Styela clava: one gene and its partner. The protein of the gene in region 1 interacts with the protein of each later gene in a biochemical or structural test. Links are inferred from orthologs where the notes say so. Each region holds a gene or a part of one and is shown on either strand. Other genes may lie near its edges. The genes, in order: F-box-like/WD repeat-containing protein TBL1XR1 and E3 ubiquitin-protein ligase SIAH1A-like.

The links.
Region 2: the proteins of F-box-like/WD repeat-containing protein TBL1XR1 (region 1) and E3 ubiquitin-protein ligase SIAH1A-like form a complex in vitro, tested with the Drosophila melanogaster proteins (2 studies listed by BioGRID). The link is inferred for Styela clava from reciprocal best matches to the Drosophila melanogaster genes ebi and sina.

The regions. Positions count from the first base shown.
Region 1 is NC_135258.1:3,382,295-3,391,189, forward strand, and holds the start of F-box-like/WD repeat-containing protein TBL1XR1, read right to left. Parts: upstream 5,659-8,895; 5' UTR 5,401-5,658; coding exon 5,334-5,400; intron 2,728-5,333; coding exon 2,582-2,727; intron 1,796-2,581; coding exon 1,420-1,795; intron 251-1,419; coding exon 88-250; intron 1-87.
Region 2 is NC_135263.1:4,121,712-4,130,606, reverse strand, and holds the start of E3 ubiquitin-protein ligase SIAH1A-like, read left to right. Parts: upstream 1-4,570; 5' UTR 4,571-4,700; coding exon 4,701-5,195; intron 5,196-8,895. UniProt on the Drosophila melanogaster protein: E3 ubiquitin-protein ligase that is required for specification of R7 photoreceptor cell fate in the eye by mediating the ubiquitination and subsequent proteasomal degradation of Tramtrack (ttk).

The DNA of each region.
Region 1 (8,895 bases):
TGAAACTTATAATTATACTTCAGCTTTTCAGATTGAATTTTTTTGAAATTTCCACAATTACATCACTTGAATAATGTCTGTACATACCCTGAAGCCAGAAGATCACAAGTTGGATTCCATGCACAAATAAAAACTTCAGAATCGTGCCCTCGTAAGACCGTGGCTTTATTCACCGATATTTTTATGTCATTAAAATTGGTTTCGACTTCCATCGGTTCCGTGTTATGAATTGAGTTAACTTCATTTATTGCTGTAGATATGAACAAATGTTAATTTTGAAACATTTAGCAGTATTTTCCAGCGAATACCGATTCAAGAAAACTGACAGTTATGGCACGTTATAACCCCAATTTCTGGTCCAAAGCTAATAATAAGCCGGCCCATCAAAAAATAAGCTGACCACAGAAATTAGGCCAAAAAATCTGCTTATTAGCTGTAAACATGGTAATGCTATATAATGGTATATTGATTGCTCTATTCACTCAAAGCAGGGTACTGAAGCCTTAACAGAGTGTATGAAGAGTATTCGTATAAGATTTCCATGCAAACAGTATCGCCTATCGCTAGATATCAGGGCCTTGTTCAGAGCGGAAGACAAGAGAGGAGCCGTATGAAAAAAAAAAAAAAAAGTACGAAGAGCATACAAAACGCTGTTAATTTATAACACAATCACAGGGCATCAAGTGGCACAAATTTTACCGAAAAACAACAAATCTTGTGGTACCCCGAAGAAATTTGAAAAAATATGAAAGCAATAGCTTTCCTAGGATACACTTTTTCCTTTTTTAATTTTTGCGAGATAGTGGAAAGTTGAAGGGAAGAGTGCTGTCCCAACAACTATATAAATACCATTTTAACAAAACGTTCAAATAACCTCATATCCAAATACATAAAATATAAATTGGGTACATAATATAAGGTGGATACATAAATATCAGTGGGTGCTCTCTGCTTCTGTTCAGAGATGAGTGAATAAGAATTGTACATAATCGATATAGCCTACCAGGAGACAAAATTTTTGTTCCAAAAAAAACAAAAACATTTTTACAGAAATAATCCATAGGTCTATTAATGTCTTGGGAAAGCTAGGCAACATACCACTAAAGATCAGATACAGGACTTTCATGTCTATATAATTGAACATCGTTTTGATTATCCGCCATTTCCACAAGAAATGCATTGGGAAGGATTCGGGGCCCTGTCTGACTTCTGATATGTTGTGAGCAACGAGGAAAAACGTCATGTCGTGCCTATGTTGCGACACTATGAATTTAGTTTTTCTCCAATTGGAAATGCCCTTATTCAGGATATATTCACTATTCCATATTCATAACTCTTATTTCAGAATCTATTTGGAACAGTGAAACATTACTCAAATTTAACCACGGCTGGTTGAAAATAAAATATGTAGTGAATTACCTAGACCATTTGTGCTGTTGGACTCTCCGTTAACTTGAGGCTCTTGTTTAATTGAGGTTGTTGAGGTTGCCGCGGTAACTACTGTTGATGTCATAATGGCATCAGTATTATTAACTGACGACTGTAAAGGAATGTTCGTCGTCGTGGAAACAGACGCATCACCACCGTCTTGTAACGCCATATCAACATTGTTAGTGTTTTTCGTTTCTTCAGCGTTTTTCTGTTGCTGAGCTCGAGCTTTTTCCTGCTCTTGTTGTAGTTTCTGAGCGGCCATTTTTTCTTTCAATTGTTGTTGTCTTGCCAGAACAACATCAGGCATAACTGCGTCAACTAATGATAGGCTTTCACTGAATCTTCCTTCAAATATCATCCCATCCTGAAAAAATAGTAGGGGTTCAAAAATGTATAATAACATTCCATCTCGAAAAAAAATGGGGAAAATAAAAAAAATTTGTATCATTACATCCCGCAAAAATATTGAGAGTTTAAAGTCCTAACATCCCATCCCACAAAAAGCAGGAGTTGAAAAAATTAATTGGAAATATACATCAGCAATACTGGTGGACTATCATATTGTTTTGGTAATATCCTTTTCAAGACATTACTACCTCAAGAAGGTCTAAGAAAAGTTACCATGGAAATACCGAAGTTCGCGTACTCACTCGGAAGTGAAGAAGGCTCATCTCTTAGTTGCAAGCAACTAACTGAAATGCCAAGAGCCCCCAACTATGGATTTACGTGTCAGCAAATGAAGATTGTATGATACATAAAAATGACCTTTTTTACATTTCAAAAGGGAGGGCTCAGAGCCCCCTGAGCAATGTTCCCTCTAATTTTTTGTAGTATGTGTGCGCAGAAATTTTGGTGTGTGCGCACTTTTTTGGAAATGACTAATATTTGTGCAAAAACCAATGAAGAAATTTTGGCTTTCTAACCGGGTAATAAGTGGGCCAACAACAAACTTTCTCAACCTGCCAACCGAGCACATTGTTACATTACATCGAAATACGTCTGTGTGCAGTAAATCTATGCGTGGGCGCAGCACACGCGCACATCTTAGAGGGAACACTGCCCCTGAGTATGTCCCTGCCTTTCAGATTAGTCTTGTCTACAGCCTTTTTCATCACATAAATTTGAAATGTCACACAAAAAAACTATGTACCTCATTAATGCTGATCTCTGCTTCAACATATTGTAGGCCTTTCTGTATGATGGATATGAGAGCAGCTGATGGCACGAGGCCGCCATTGATGTTTGATTGACTGATATGGGACTCCAGACCGAATACAAACGCACTGTGGTGAAAACCTGGAAAAAGTGAAATGGGAATAAATGTTTTGGTCAGCGTTCCAAACCCTTTTTGTTACATTCCTTTTTTGGTACTCCCGTAGTGTGTGTACCGGGTTAGGGCATAATTTCATTCCGATTTTCCTTCTTTTAATTCTAGTATGAGTTCGGGGACTGTCAGTGTTAGCCAAGTGAATATACCCCCTGCCTATAGGTTCCAGTCCCTTTACACAACTTGAAGTAGGCGAACAATATTAGTTACCTCAATATGGCACACACACTTCTACAGCCCTAAATTTTCCCTCTGAAACAAATAATCCTTCCCCACCTCCAGAAACTATAACTTCCCATGAAAGTATGAAAAGCGATTTTGGTAAGCTTCTCCTACCATGGTTTTATAGAAAACAGGACCAATCAAAAGACTATTTATCAAATTTTCCCGTATTTTTATGTGAAACTCATTGTATACACATGGACTCCTATACGCTTCCTGCTGGACATTAATGACCCATTTTAGAATACATTCAAAAATCCAGACACAAAAATATAGGGTGTCCACCTTTAATTTTATAAATATTGAGAAGGGAATTATTCGATACAATATATTGTTTTGGCCCTCGCAGATGTATTAAATGAAGAGAAAATACTGATTAAAAATCAACAAACCTGGTTAAGATATATTGAGAACTGACTTCATAACAAAATTGATATTGTAAAGGGACTTTATGGACACCCTGTATTATTTCAGCAATCAGTGTGCACTGACTTTTGGCAAACTAGGAATCTACCAGTCCTGTAGTTTTGTAAGTGGTTAAAATATTTTTTCTCCGAAACAAGCCCTAAAGCAGCGGTTCCCAACCACCAAGGGCGCCACAGAGCAGGGGGTACACACAAAATTTTTTTTATATTTTTCTTTACAAACCTAGTTTCATTGCTTGATAAAAATATTGTGCACACTTTATTGTGCATGAATTGTTTAACATTTTAACAAATAACACTATAAATACCAATGGAATGATAAAACAAGGGAGCCACGAGCCATAAAAGGTCGAGAACCACTGCTCTACTACCAACATTGTTGCTAGATTGACAGCAGTATAAAAACCTTGGCTGCACGACAGAAATGTTTAAAACTAACTGAATATTCAAATTGATTCAAAATTGAATAATTTCATTTGAAAAATTATCATGTCAAGAGTATGAATAAAGACTCCTCCATATCTCTTCCTGAAAATTATAAAAAGTACAAGATCTACTGTGAAAATTTTCATATGTGTTAGGTTAGCTTAGATTTACCAATTACCATGATCTATGAAGCTTACTATTGAGACAACCCGGGCGATATCAAACTCTAATTATCTATGCGAATGTAGTCGTCTTTTGGCATGTATCTACTGATATTGGAACCCGGCCCAATTCCACAGATCAGAAATGTATACGGAAGTGGAAATTTCTCAGGAGTCAGCATTTCTGATTTTTAATAGTGATAATTGGAAATCTTCGACTGTAAATCTAAGCCTATTAGCCTATTTATTTTCCTTTTTAAAAAATTATATAATGCTTGCAAATGCTCAAAAGGTTCATGCTATCAAAAGTTGGTATTCTCATCAGACAATAAAAAACGCCTCGAATAATTTTTGTGATCAAAATATTTTGTTTTTACAGGCTCTTTTTGTGCCAAATAAATTCCACTGCCAAACATAATTGTCGTATTTGGATTTTTGAATCAAATCATTATATTTTAAGTAAATTTCTAAGTTTTTAGTTTCAATGTTTTTTTGTTTTTAATTAAATCCTATTATCTCAATTTTCTCTGACTTCACAACTAGAGCCAGAACTTCCTTCAACTTTGTTTCCGAGAACAGAATAAATATTTTCACTAAATCAATACCAGAGTGCATTTTAAATGGCTCAAGAGTCTTGTTTAGAATGCAAATTCGTCCAGACCAGTGGTGTGCTTCCCATAAGAGGGGCGTAGAAAATTATTTCTTGAGGGGAACATGAAGCTGATTATAAAAAAAGGTATATTTGTCAGATTTGATCTTGCTCGCCATATTTTGGATATTTACATTTCTTAATTGTTTTGAGATTGCAGAGAGCTGTTGTATCTTTATTTTAAAAACAGTGAAAAACCGTCTAAAAACACAAATAAACCTGCTAAAACGCCTAAAAACAGTGAGAAACAGTCTAAAAACACCAATAACCCTGCTAAAACGCTTAAAAACAGTGGAAAACCGTCTAAAAACACCAATAACCCTGCTAAAACGCTTAACATCATTGAAAAACCGTCTAAAAACACCAATAACCCTGCTACAACGCTTAAAAACAGTAAAAAACCGTCTAAAAACACCAATAACCCTGCTAAAACGTATGTAAAATGTATCCTTTTCATCCAGGTATTTTCAACAAGTTTTTTGAATTAGTTTCACCTTATTATCTATTATTTGTAGCTTATTGTTAGCTAGTTATTTCTGAGGTGTGGCTCGAGACTTGACAAATTCTGAAAGGGGGCGCAAATATTTAAGAACCACTGGTCGAGACCAAACAGCCCTTCTGAGAAAATGAGCATTGCTAAAAGTATTTTCGCTTTTACAATGTAGAAAAAAAGAATCAAAAAGAATCGTCACCTGACTCCTCCAGGTACCTATAGACCAGGAAGTTTACTTCATCCGACGTGATGCTCATATTTAACATGGAAGAAATTGCGATTTTCCAACGTCTATATGAAAAAAATTAGGATTTTTCAATCATTTGTGACGTTGTATAGTATATATCCAAAAGTTAGTTAGTAATCCATGCTTTTTCCTTCTGAATCAAAATATATCCAATTTTCTTTTTGATAAAACTGAAGAATATTTCCAATGATTTGACACTGTATATCCTAGTAGTGATTCTTTGAGTTGAAATTTCTGTTCCAGGCTAGTTTAGTAATATAAAAATCTGTTTGAAGAGAATGTTGGTTAGAATTATATAGAATCCGACAAAATTTTATAATTATTTTAATTTATATAAATTTTTTTGAAAGAATTCAAAGTTCTCATCCTACCTCTATAAAGAAATGGGAAGAGGTGAGTGGAGGTGGTTAATATAAGTAAATTTGGTATGACAAGGACATCGTGAGCAACATACATCACAGTTTTGGGTGGCCCTCAACCTACCTGTATAATGAAAACTTCCATAATCTGGTAAGTAATTACAAAATTTTCAACATGCAGGTAAAGTCGGTTAGAATTTGGGACGGTATGTGCCAGGCGATGTTTTTTCGGTTTATTGGACACAAAGTGGACCTATAGGTCATTTGGGTATTATGTTGTTGTTCTTGTTGGTATTTGTCATTTTGAAAAAAAATCGCTTCTTTCATTTACCGGAACAATTGCTTTGAAATTTTCAGTGGTTGAAGTTAGTATTTTCTGCTAGAAAGATATTACTTTTATTTGTTCCTAAATTTAATACAATTACAATTGAGCTGTGTTTTCCCCAGCCAAGATTTATGGTCATATTTTACTTCAAATTAGCATGGAACAAACATGGTACAATACTCTTTGACAAGCAGGAAACAATATTGAACTACTTTGCTAAGGAATGTTCAAATATTTGTTCCCGGATCAGGCAACGCCCTACAGACCAAATTTGAAATTCTATAGTGTGACTAAGGACGTACTACAATACTAGCAAGGGTGTAGTAAACTACCTGGTAGGTGGGCAAAGCCAAATAGGAAAAAAATTCCGGTAATTCCAAACTTGATTATATATTAGTAATAAATTACCGTATCTAAAGCCTTTAAAGTGAAAATGTGCAAAAAAACATGAAAATCATTCCAAGCATACCCAATTATTTCATTCATATTTGCAACTTCGTAATGTTCAAATTTGAAATCTTACTGTGTGTGACGTATATGAGGCACACATAACAAGGACATAATAAACTGAGTTGGCAATGATAATCTCCCGAAGATTTTAGTTCTTTCAAAATTAGTGACTCCTTTCAAAAAAATTATTCCAAATAATGGTCAATTTATTTCAAAATAATAGTAAAATTTCCTCAACATGAAATTTAATTGATTGAAGGGCATAGTAAAGTGGGTAGGCTATTCAAAACCTTGAAGATTCTGATTCTTTGCATTTCACAGAATATTTATCTGAAAACCTGTTTGAAGTAAAGATAGAAAAATTGCTAACAAAAAATTTAGTATAAATATTTCATTCATTGTCATAATATCAAAATAAATAACATTTGAGAATTATCATCTTTAATTAAAAATATATGTTTAAATTTTCTGTCAGCTGATCATTATAAAATATTGTTAATTTCCACTTACTAATTATTAAAATGTAAGGTACTACCAACAAAATATGGTAACGAAAATGGTTGATTTATAGCAAACAATTGGAAAGAATATCAGATCTGAACCGGTATCCATCAAAATGATAATAGAACTACTTTCAAAAAATTCTTGACAGTGTTTTCATATGTATATTATTTTTGAACTACAAACGAGAATATTGTTCAGAGACCAAAGACTTATCGATCGAAAGTTAGGGGATCCCCAAAACAGCACTCTTACGGTACCCCATAGTGACACTAATATATTAATAACACGCTAATTAAACCACATGATACATCCAAAATCACTGACTTCTGGTCCAACATATGATGAATGCACATGCAAAATCTGGAGCAGATTCAACCTCGCTTTCGTGAGATATCGCGTGCATCTAACAGACAGACAGACAAACACAGACAAATACCTATCAACATACTTACCGATTAAAATCGATAAGTAATAATTGATCACTGTGTCCAATTTTCAAAATTGTTAAATTCAAAATAAATTAAAATTCAGATATTAAAATGGCCGATAACACTATAGTAAAAATTGCCAATAACCTAATACAAATTCATCAAATGGTAAAAAAATTATGCTCCAATAAATTCTTGGCAGTGTTCCCATATGTGTATTATTTTTGAACTACAAATAAATGATCACTGTCTCACCATTTTCAAAATTATGTGAACTCGAATTTAATTAAAATTCAGATATTAAAATGGCCGATAACACTGTAGTAAAAATGGCCAATAATCTAATACAAATCCATCAAAATGGAAAGAACTACGTCAGAAATGACTTGGCAATGGTTTCATGTGTATTTTGTTTATGAACTGCAAATAGTAGGTCACTCTGTCCCCGTTTTTGAAAATTGTGTGACCTCAAATTTAATTAGACCTAGAAAAATAAAATTGCTGATAACACTGAAGTAAAAATTGCCAATAATCTAATACAAATCCATCAAATTGGAGAAAGATTTACATCCAAATATTCTTGGCAGTGTTTGCATATGTATTTTGATTATGAACCGCAAATAAAAGACCAATGCATCTCACATTTTTTAAAATTGTGTGTATTAAACCCAACATATTAAAATGGCCGATAACCCTATAGTAAAAATGACCAATCATATGACACAAATCCATCAAAATGGTGAACGAATTACATTCATAAAGTCTTTGGCAGTAATTCATAATATGTATCTGTATTTTAACTGCGATTGGGAGACCAGACCATTGTGCTGCTATTTCTCAATATGGACTGAAATTTAATTAAAATATTACAGTAAAATTGGCAAAATTATTTAATTATTTATTCGGGTATAAATTCATTGAATATGGCAGCAGAAATGCTTTAATAGTATTGTCTATGTCTTTAGATTAATTAGTTTATTAACTGCACTTAGAATAGATCGCTGTGTCTCCAATGTATGAACTCAAATTTATTTGAATCTAAGATATCAAAATGATTGATGACACGATGGTTAAATGATACAATGCTTTCAAAATGGTGACAAAATTATAAAAATTCTTGGCAAGTGTCTACATATGTATTTTGTTTTCGACAGCAAATTTCGCAAACTCAAGTTTAATTAAATTTATCATGTTAATATTGTAGGCAAGATTATTACATCAAAATGCATAAAAATTTCATCGATCATGGTGGCAGAGAGGATTCAACAACATTGGCAATGTCCTCAGTTTTTGGCAAGTCAGCGAATAATGATTTCATAATGAAACTAGAAGCCATTATGACTTCACAGAGCTCTTGTGACCTTTACCGCCAAAAAAACTGAGCCACGTACCGGGTGAAACCATTATTCTGACAAGAGGGGATGTTTTTGAAACCGCATTGATAAACA
Region 2 (8,895 bases), on another chromosome or scaffold:
CGCCATTTTGTGTCCTACTGTACTGCTTAACTTGGTGTGAATATATTTGTAGACTGTGATCTGACGGTACGGCAAACCGTACTGTACTGCGAACAGACGTGTCCATAAATTTCGGCGTAGCTCTCTTGCTTCAATCGACACGCATTTTCCTCTGATAGCAATAAAGGATATTGAAAAACAGCAACACACAAAAACTCGACTGCCGTCCAAGTACCCCTGAAACTCTTCTCGTGAACTCCAGGTTGAGAACCCCTGTGTTATACACAAATTTTCGGTTCTTGATTTCAATCTACTCTCCAAAGCACCAACGAGAATATCGGTCGGAGACCGGAGACTTATCGATCGAAACTGCGGTTTCGATTCATGACTCAATAGTGACACCGCGTGTCCCATCACTAATTAATTAATAACTCGGTAATTATACGACAAATTCATAATTATACGACAAATCAATAGCCTTCTGGTCCGAGATATGATGAATGCACATGCAAAATTTGGAGCTTTCGTGAGATACCGCGTGCATCTAACAGTCGGACAGCCAAATACCTATCAACATACTTACCGATCTTAAGATCGATAAGTAATAATGGAAGACTCCAACGCAAGCCAAAAAGCTAAATTTTTTCAATCGATTAGACTTCATTACTATAGCAAGCGTGTCGGTCGAATCCACCCAAAATACAACTAAACCAAAGTAGGTGTATGTTGAAATCTAACGCTCGTAAATGTAGCACAAATGCTAGTCTGGTGGTTTCTATGGTACATTTTACCGGTATGTTAGTCGTTGGGCTGGAGGGAGCGATACGGCCATAAGGTCATCAAAGTCAGCTTCCGTCAAATTCACCATTAAGATTCACAGTTCATGTATATGAACCGTGCATCATCTGATCCGTTTGACACACAAAACATTTAGTTTTAATATATACGTTGACAAGAAGACACAAATTCAAAAATTCTGGGCGTTTATTCTTGAGAAAGAAAAGTATATATACGCGAATTGTTGCATTCGGGAGTTGAAGCTTGAAAAATAAAAATACACGAGCGTGAACTCAGGCTTTACACTTGAAGAGTTGAAGTTGAGTTCTGGTCCAGATACCTATCTTTGTGTCAAAATTCTGTTAATTGACATACTGCACGAGACTGAAGATTGATTGTTTGCTTGATTTCTTAAATGTTGATGTGTTTTTCTTTGGTTCCTGATAAATTGCTTTTCATTTTGATTGACGAGCAGGCAATCTAAAGCGGAATGTCGAGTGCCATAGGATAGCTGAAGTTACCGGCATAAATCTAATCCTAATCGACAAGCGTGATTGGGTGATCTTTGGCAGTGGTTCCCAACCTTTCTACCCTGGCGGACCGGTAAAATTAAATATATTCGCGGACGGCAATAAAATGAAATGAGCGGAACAGAAAGTAATAACATATATTTTCGTAATATAATGCAATAAAAATGCTTCTAGACAAAAAAAGGCACACTTAAAAACATTTCACACGAAGAAAAACTATCAAATAATGTGCCGGCCAACAATTGAAATGGGTGAAACATAAAATAATACCATATATTTGCGTGATGAAATGCAGTGCTGTGCACCCATTATGCGTAAGAAGGCACACAAAAACATTTGACATGAAAAAAAAACATACCAAATCACGTACAAACACAATTAACTATAGTCAGAATTTTGCTGCTGTTTCGTTTCAAATATAGGATTGCAGACGAGGCCTCAAATCAGTTTCTGAAACACGTTGCTCTGCAGCTGCGTGCAGCCAATTTCCTTGCTTCAAGCTAGTGATGAGAATGTTTTTTATTTTCGCGTAAAGCATAAGTAACTGGTTGAAAATACTGACAACAGTTTGATTGCTCGATTACTTAGCGATGGGTATTCGGTATTATTAAGAGATACCCAAAATTTAGACAGTGATTTTTTTTATAATCTGGACTGTAAAGTAGGATCACAATTTTAATCAGCTTTTCTTTTTCACTAAAATTTACATTACAATGACAAAGTCGTCGGTAACTTGGCACCAGTTTCAATCCTACTGTGCCTGCTTAATACTTGAAAAGATCTCAGCGGATCTCTTTTTTGGTTTAAACAAAGAAATATGCATACCGTTTTATATGGATTGTCATATTAATCAAGAAAAGTTAATCAAGAGTTCCGACTTTTAGGTTTCTGAATCTTGCGAGATTTGATGGAGCGCATTCGAGATGAATCGGAGCCGAAAGAGCGAAAAGTGTGATCGGCGCCAAGATGTCGCGAAAGACGTCGCAATAAACCGGCGGAAGAGAAATTGGGCAATAAACAAACGCAACCCTGTCTTCGGTAAAGCGATTGATATGGCATAAAAACAACGAAATTTTTAGCGGACCGGCAAAAAAGTTTCGCGGACCGGCGGTTGGGAACCACCAATCTACGGGAATCGCGAGTCATTTACGTCTTCCTCCGCCATCAAATCCATGTATCTGAAACAAACAACTGGCTAACCCGACATAAACTGGTAAGTGATACGCTATATGACTGAGCCGTCTTATCGACTTTCCTCTCCCCAGAATAAATAAGAAAATCCACTTTGGAGCAAAAGCATATGTGTGACGTCAAACAGTAGCATTATCGCACGCTTCACCGCCCACAGTGCGAACAACTGTTTTCTTTCATTTTTTATTATAAGTCACTAACCGTTGGGATATTCGGATTTCTTGACGACAAAGGTTTTTATATTACTGTATTAACCTTTTGTGTTTTGTTCTGAGGTCGTGTAAATGTTTTGTTCTTATTGATATGGGTTTGCTGTTTTTAGTGGAAATTTGGTACCGGTACTGGCTGCCGGTAGGCTATATTTGATAGTTTTATCAGAAGACTTTAATCACGCTGCCTCATCGAATTATCGCGATGTACTGTGAATGTGAACATAATTTTATTCAAATTAACATCAGAACAGTTTGTGACTATACTACGGTATCTGTTTATGTGATGTTTCTGTTAGGGGGCACTGGCTGACTGGGCATATATAAATTCGGGTCTGGTATAGTCAGGGATTCCATATCGTCCTTATTTCTAAGGTTTGTCCTTATTTTTAGCTTGCGTCCTTATTTTTGGCTTGCATGTCCTCATTTTGTCTTATTTGGACTTCATAAAGGAAGCTTTGTGTTGTTTGCTTTATCGCCAAAGTTTTATTATGGCATCATAAAAGCAGTTGTCTAGTTGCAGAGTTGGCCTGGCTCAACAATTTTTGCATATGCAGATAGGGTGGTGTAGCCAGTCTGCGGACGATTTCATTCAAACCGCTATAAAACAAAAACCAATATTTCTAACCCGTTAAATTTTTCACCGTAGGTGGACGAGGGATAAGTGGACGATAACGTGTGAGAAATATCGTCGCGGTTCGGTAATTTTTTCGGCTTTAATTTAATTGATGATGTTGATGGTCGCAGATAGGTCATGGCCGCAAAGTGGGTAAGCCACCCTATGTCATTCCTAACCCCCACCTGACTATGTCACCAAAAAAATATGTCACTAAGACACCACAGTGGCGTAAAAATGCCTACAAAGCGTACGGATGGTCGTTCAAAACGCGCAGACAATCACCCAAAATCGAGCAAGCTATTTTCCTCGTCGCAACGATCCCGATATGAGTGAGACCGCTGGCCTTGGTGAGTTTGGTATCCAGGTATTGCCGGTACAGATGCCAACCGACCATTCATGTCGGTTATATTATTAGTTAGCCAGTTGTTTGATTCAGATGTATGGACTCGGTGGTGGATGAAGCTGTAACTGACCCCGATTATATGAATCACTCCACGGCGGCAAAAACTGAAGAGCCCAGCAATCTTCTTGTACTGTTGTATATAGTCTAAATATCTCTCACATGATTCCAACCTGCGAACATACGCGGGGTAATCAGAGTTGCGGCAGTGAGTGTATTCCTAATGCTTGCCGCTGAGCATTGTTCAGTTGTTACATTGTTTTGTACATACGATACCATTCTGCCATTGCCGAACAACTCAGACTTATGACAAGCTGTGTGGTTCCTTAGTAGCAGTGTTGTTATCAAGTATTTATGAATTTAATTAAAGTACAATGGGTACCTACTGATTGAATTTACAGCTACCTGGTTTTGTCATCCAAAGATTATGTCACTACGACCTCACAATCACCTCAAACAGCTTGCCAAAGTATAGCTGTGATAGACGGAAATGACATATTTGCCAACGTTAATGAACTCACTAACGCTAGCTCATATTGGGAATCTCATATTGGGATCATTACGACAAGAAAATGAGAGAAATCATCTGCGCGTCTCGGATGACCATTAGTATAGTTTGAAGGGCCTCATTATGTTACTGTGACATGGTAGTGAGGTAATTTTTGAATGACGTAGTCAGGTGGGGTTAGGAATAACGTATGCAAAAATAGTTTTGCCACGCCTACTAAAAGTACTTATGTCGTGTTGTGAACATGGCCCGAATATTTCAACTTCAAGAAAATGATCAAGTTTTGGAGAATATCCCTCCCCTATTCATTCTACGTATATAATGTGAGAATATTATCAAACATTCATCTTTTCTTATAAATAATTTACAGATATTTTAAATTTGTATAGAGATATAAAAAAACATTTGGATAGTTGCAGAAAAAAGCCTGCTGCCATTTGTGCAGCATGGTTCTATGATGTGACATCACTTTGGATTATTCTTAGTAATGCCAAACCCAAAAAATATGAGTCGGCAGACTTGTTCCTCTAACACAACCAAAGCTAATAGTGGGGATATGCCTGTCAGTGGACGAAAACCTGATGGTACTATAGCTTCAAATAATGACTTAGCGAGTTTATTTGAATGTCCTGTATGTTTTGACTATGTCCTACCTCCAATTTTGCAATGCCAAAGCGGACATTTAGTTTGTGGGGCCTGCAGGCCTAAATTAACATGCTGCCCAACATGTCGCGGACCTTTGGGCAATATAAGAAATCTAGGAATGGAAAAAGTTGCAAGTTCTGTACTATTTCCGTGTAGATATGTATCATCTGGCTGTGAATCGACTTTAATATACACAGAGAAGTCTGAACATGAAGAAACATGCGAATACAGGCCTTATTCTTGCCCGTGTCCCGGAGCCTCATGTAAATGGCAAGGATCATTGGATCAAGTAATGCCACATCTGATGACAACTCACAAATCTATCACTAATTTACAGGTAAATTGTTCATTTGCAACTTATAGACAGTTTGTTTGTAGTGCAACTTCTAGACCAGGGATGTCCAACCCGCGGGCCGCGTGTGGCCCACTTGAAGTTTTTATAAATAATGCGACGAAGTCGCAAAGTTGTTGAACTCATTTGAAGAAAGATTCGCTTACTTACAAAAATTCGACAGTCTCTTTAAAATTTTTATGTGTTCATTTTAAATTCGAGTAGAAGATGGCCCAGAATACATGCAACTTGAATTGATCCAATCAAAAACCGAACTGAAATGCTTGTTTCAAAGAAATAGAAAACTTCAATTCCACAGTCAACGATAGAGATATCGATGGAGATGAGTTTCCCATTCTGAGACAAATGGCAATGCGTATTGCGGCGGCGATAGGAACAACATATTTGTGCAAATCCTTCTTTTCTAAACTGAAAATTATAAAGTCTGAGCCAGGGGTCGGCAACCCCTGGCACGCGTGCCAATTGTGACACGCGAGAGGATTTCTCATGGCACGCCAAGTGATTTGAGGCAGATTCAGATATTTCTTTTAGTAGTTCGATAAACATTCTACATTTGAACAAAAATTAACAATTCGACAAATTCATTGAAAAACATGCAATATTTAACTGCAATCGACAAAAGCCGAAATCTGTACGGCAGGGGTCTCAAACTCAATTTACCTGGAAGCCGCCGAAACGGAGTCTGAGTGAGTCCGGGCCGCATCAGATTTTCCACAATAAAAGCATCGCATAAAACATTTTTTTCTCTATTTTTCTATACGCAAAACATGTCAAAAACATAAATGTAAGTAATTCCGCGATAGACCTTCCGTCGAGCACCTACTTCCTTGTTTATTCCGTAACATTGGCTAATCAGCAAGACGCAAAACGTAACGTAACAATAGACGTTTTCGCAAACGCTCAGAGACTTGTCACTCAGAAAGATTTTCAGGCATGTTTGTAAACATTACCTCGTTTTTGCATGCTATTTGTTAGTTTTTGGTTGTGTTTCAGAAATTCAAGTATGAATCAAAGAACCAAATGATCATTCTTTGATCATTCATTGCTTGGGCGTCGTAGCTTAATTGCAGTAATCAAAAATTAGTGTAAAAATAACTGTGATAGAATAGGCTAAACTTCTCTACCGGTACTGTTGAAAAACAGGTTGTTGAATGTTTTGAATCAAAAAGAAGCAAGTGGTTACAACATATACCCCAGTTTATACGCTTCAACTCGTGAAGCCACCCCTAAAATAAGCAACAAGAAATTTGCAATGGTGAAGTATAAAAACGAAAATGTTGAGGTCACAGGTCGGGGAAGGTCCATCGATAATCATGCCTACAGCTACAGGTACGGTACTAGTAGGTTACCGTACCGCATATGCCTTTCGGAGGATAGATTTTGAAATATTTTGTTTTGCTCTACTTGTCCTGATCATATATTAAATGCATCAATCATTCTAACTGAGCTGAGTAACTTACGGACCGCACTAACATTGAACTTTCATACCAAGGCGGGGGCCACAAACTATCGTCCTGCGGGCCACGAGTTTGAGACCCCTGCTGTACGGGAAACCAGTGTAATTAAGTATGTGCGGTGCAATGTTGCCACATTTCGCTTTTTTCGGAAAAACTATTGATCATAGGTCGGAATCTGTATGGAAAATCAGTGTAGATGAGCATGTTTGGTGCAGCGGTGCCAGATTTGGCTACTGTCGGAAACAACGCTTCGCTACTTAAAACTACTCGTTTAACTACTTGCGATTTTTCATATTACTGTTGGGTTACTTTTTGCCCGTTAAATCGGGAAATATTGAATATTCATTTATCAATTCACACTTTTGGGCAACTATTCATACAGCTTTTTGCTAAAATCGCGATTGTTTTTGTCAGCGTGGCGTGTTAGGCTGTGAACACTTTAAGTTGGTGTTTATTCTCCCTGATTCCAAAAAATTATTTAACGACAACGATTTTAATTACTTTCTTTTTTCACTCGCCCAGAATTGTGAATTTGTTGAGAGGTATTATACAATAATCATTGGCGCGTTGCTTAGGTCAAACAAAGGAGTGAAACGGCGACACAAATTTTTTCATTGAACAGCGACAACTAAAAATATCAAAAATAAAACCGTAAACAATTTGTTCTAGTTGGCCCGCGACAGCTCTTTAGGCATTGTAAATTGCAAAATCTTGAATGCCTATGTGTTAATTGTGCGCGGATTTTTCTATTTTACTTGCGGTCGGAAATGTTCGTGTTAATATTATATATTATAGGTTAGAAACGCGACTTTTTCCCGAGTCGTGGTGATATATAAGATAAGTATATTCAATCAATTTTTATTGTACTAAAATAAATTTTATTTTATTGCAGACTTGGAATTTTTTTAACGGTAGTTTTTATCAGGTAGTTGACTATGCAAACCAAGTTTGGCACGCGAAGATGCTCAATATTCATAAAATGGCAGGCTGAGTTCAAAAGGTTGCCGACCCCTGGTCTAAGCATAGGAGTAATCTGACGAATGACAATTTAAGGAGCCTGTTACGTTGTGCGGTATCAAAACTACCTGTTGATATTAAACAGTTGCGCAATGACATACAAAAGCAAGTTTCGCACTAGTTGAAAAAATATTGCTGACATTTTTTATTTTTTATGCCAATTTGCATTATTGCAAAAATTTTGCGCCAAAGTTGAGTTGAACTTTATGGTTCATGATCCTTGTGTGCATGTTGTGTTCAAAAATTCGCAAAAGTGTTGTGCAATCCAGGCGTTCGATTTAGCGACGCTCAAATTCTAACGTAAATCAGAACTGGGATGGTATTTTGAGTTTGGTGAAAACGTTTGCGGCCCGCAATGAATTGCCTCACATGAAAGCGGCCTGCGACACTGAAAAGGTTGGACATGCTTGTTCTAGACTGTTATTCTCATTTGAAGTTGCAGGGCGACCCAAAAAACAACCCAGGTCCTTTGGAACCTTTTCTAAGAAGGATACCATATACCTTTTGTGCAAAGATCCTAGATTACTCACATTACTGAAACTTTTTGGTACAATCTTACACAAACAGGAGTTCGAATGTTAAAAAAATTTTCGAAGAAGTAATCAATGAATAAATGGGTTCAATTTTTTTGGCATCCTATACGTGTGAAGTTAGGTGTACTTTCATTCTACAAGTAGAGAAATTTGATTTTGGATAACTTGATAAATTAACTTCAATAAATGAAACTCAAGATTAATTCTTTTTATAATACTGTTCTATGTCAGACGTATGGTTCAACTTTATAATAAATTTTATAGTAGAGAATTCTCATCTGCGGTGCTACGCATAAGATGAGATAGTTTGCATTTATGAATATTTGGAAATTTTAGGCACATTTTATTGGTGTGTTGTGTTCGTGTACTATAAAAAATATAGGATTATTCGAAGCATGGAATTTATCACGATTTTGCATTCCAGAATTTAAAACTCATTGAATATATAAGGACTAAATGTGATCTTTGTTTAATTCGGAATTTAAGAATATATTCAAATTTAAAATATATTCGAAAATATTATTTTGGAATTGTAGATTATTTGGATTTGACTGTTCCATAACAATCTATTCCAATGCGGGAATTGTTTGTGGAAACATTAGCCACAAAATATCATTTAAAAGCTATTTAACTTTATCAAATTGGGTTAAAACTGAAAAAAGTGAAGATACATAATTT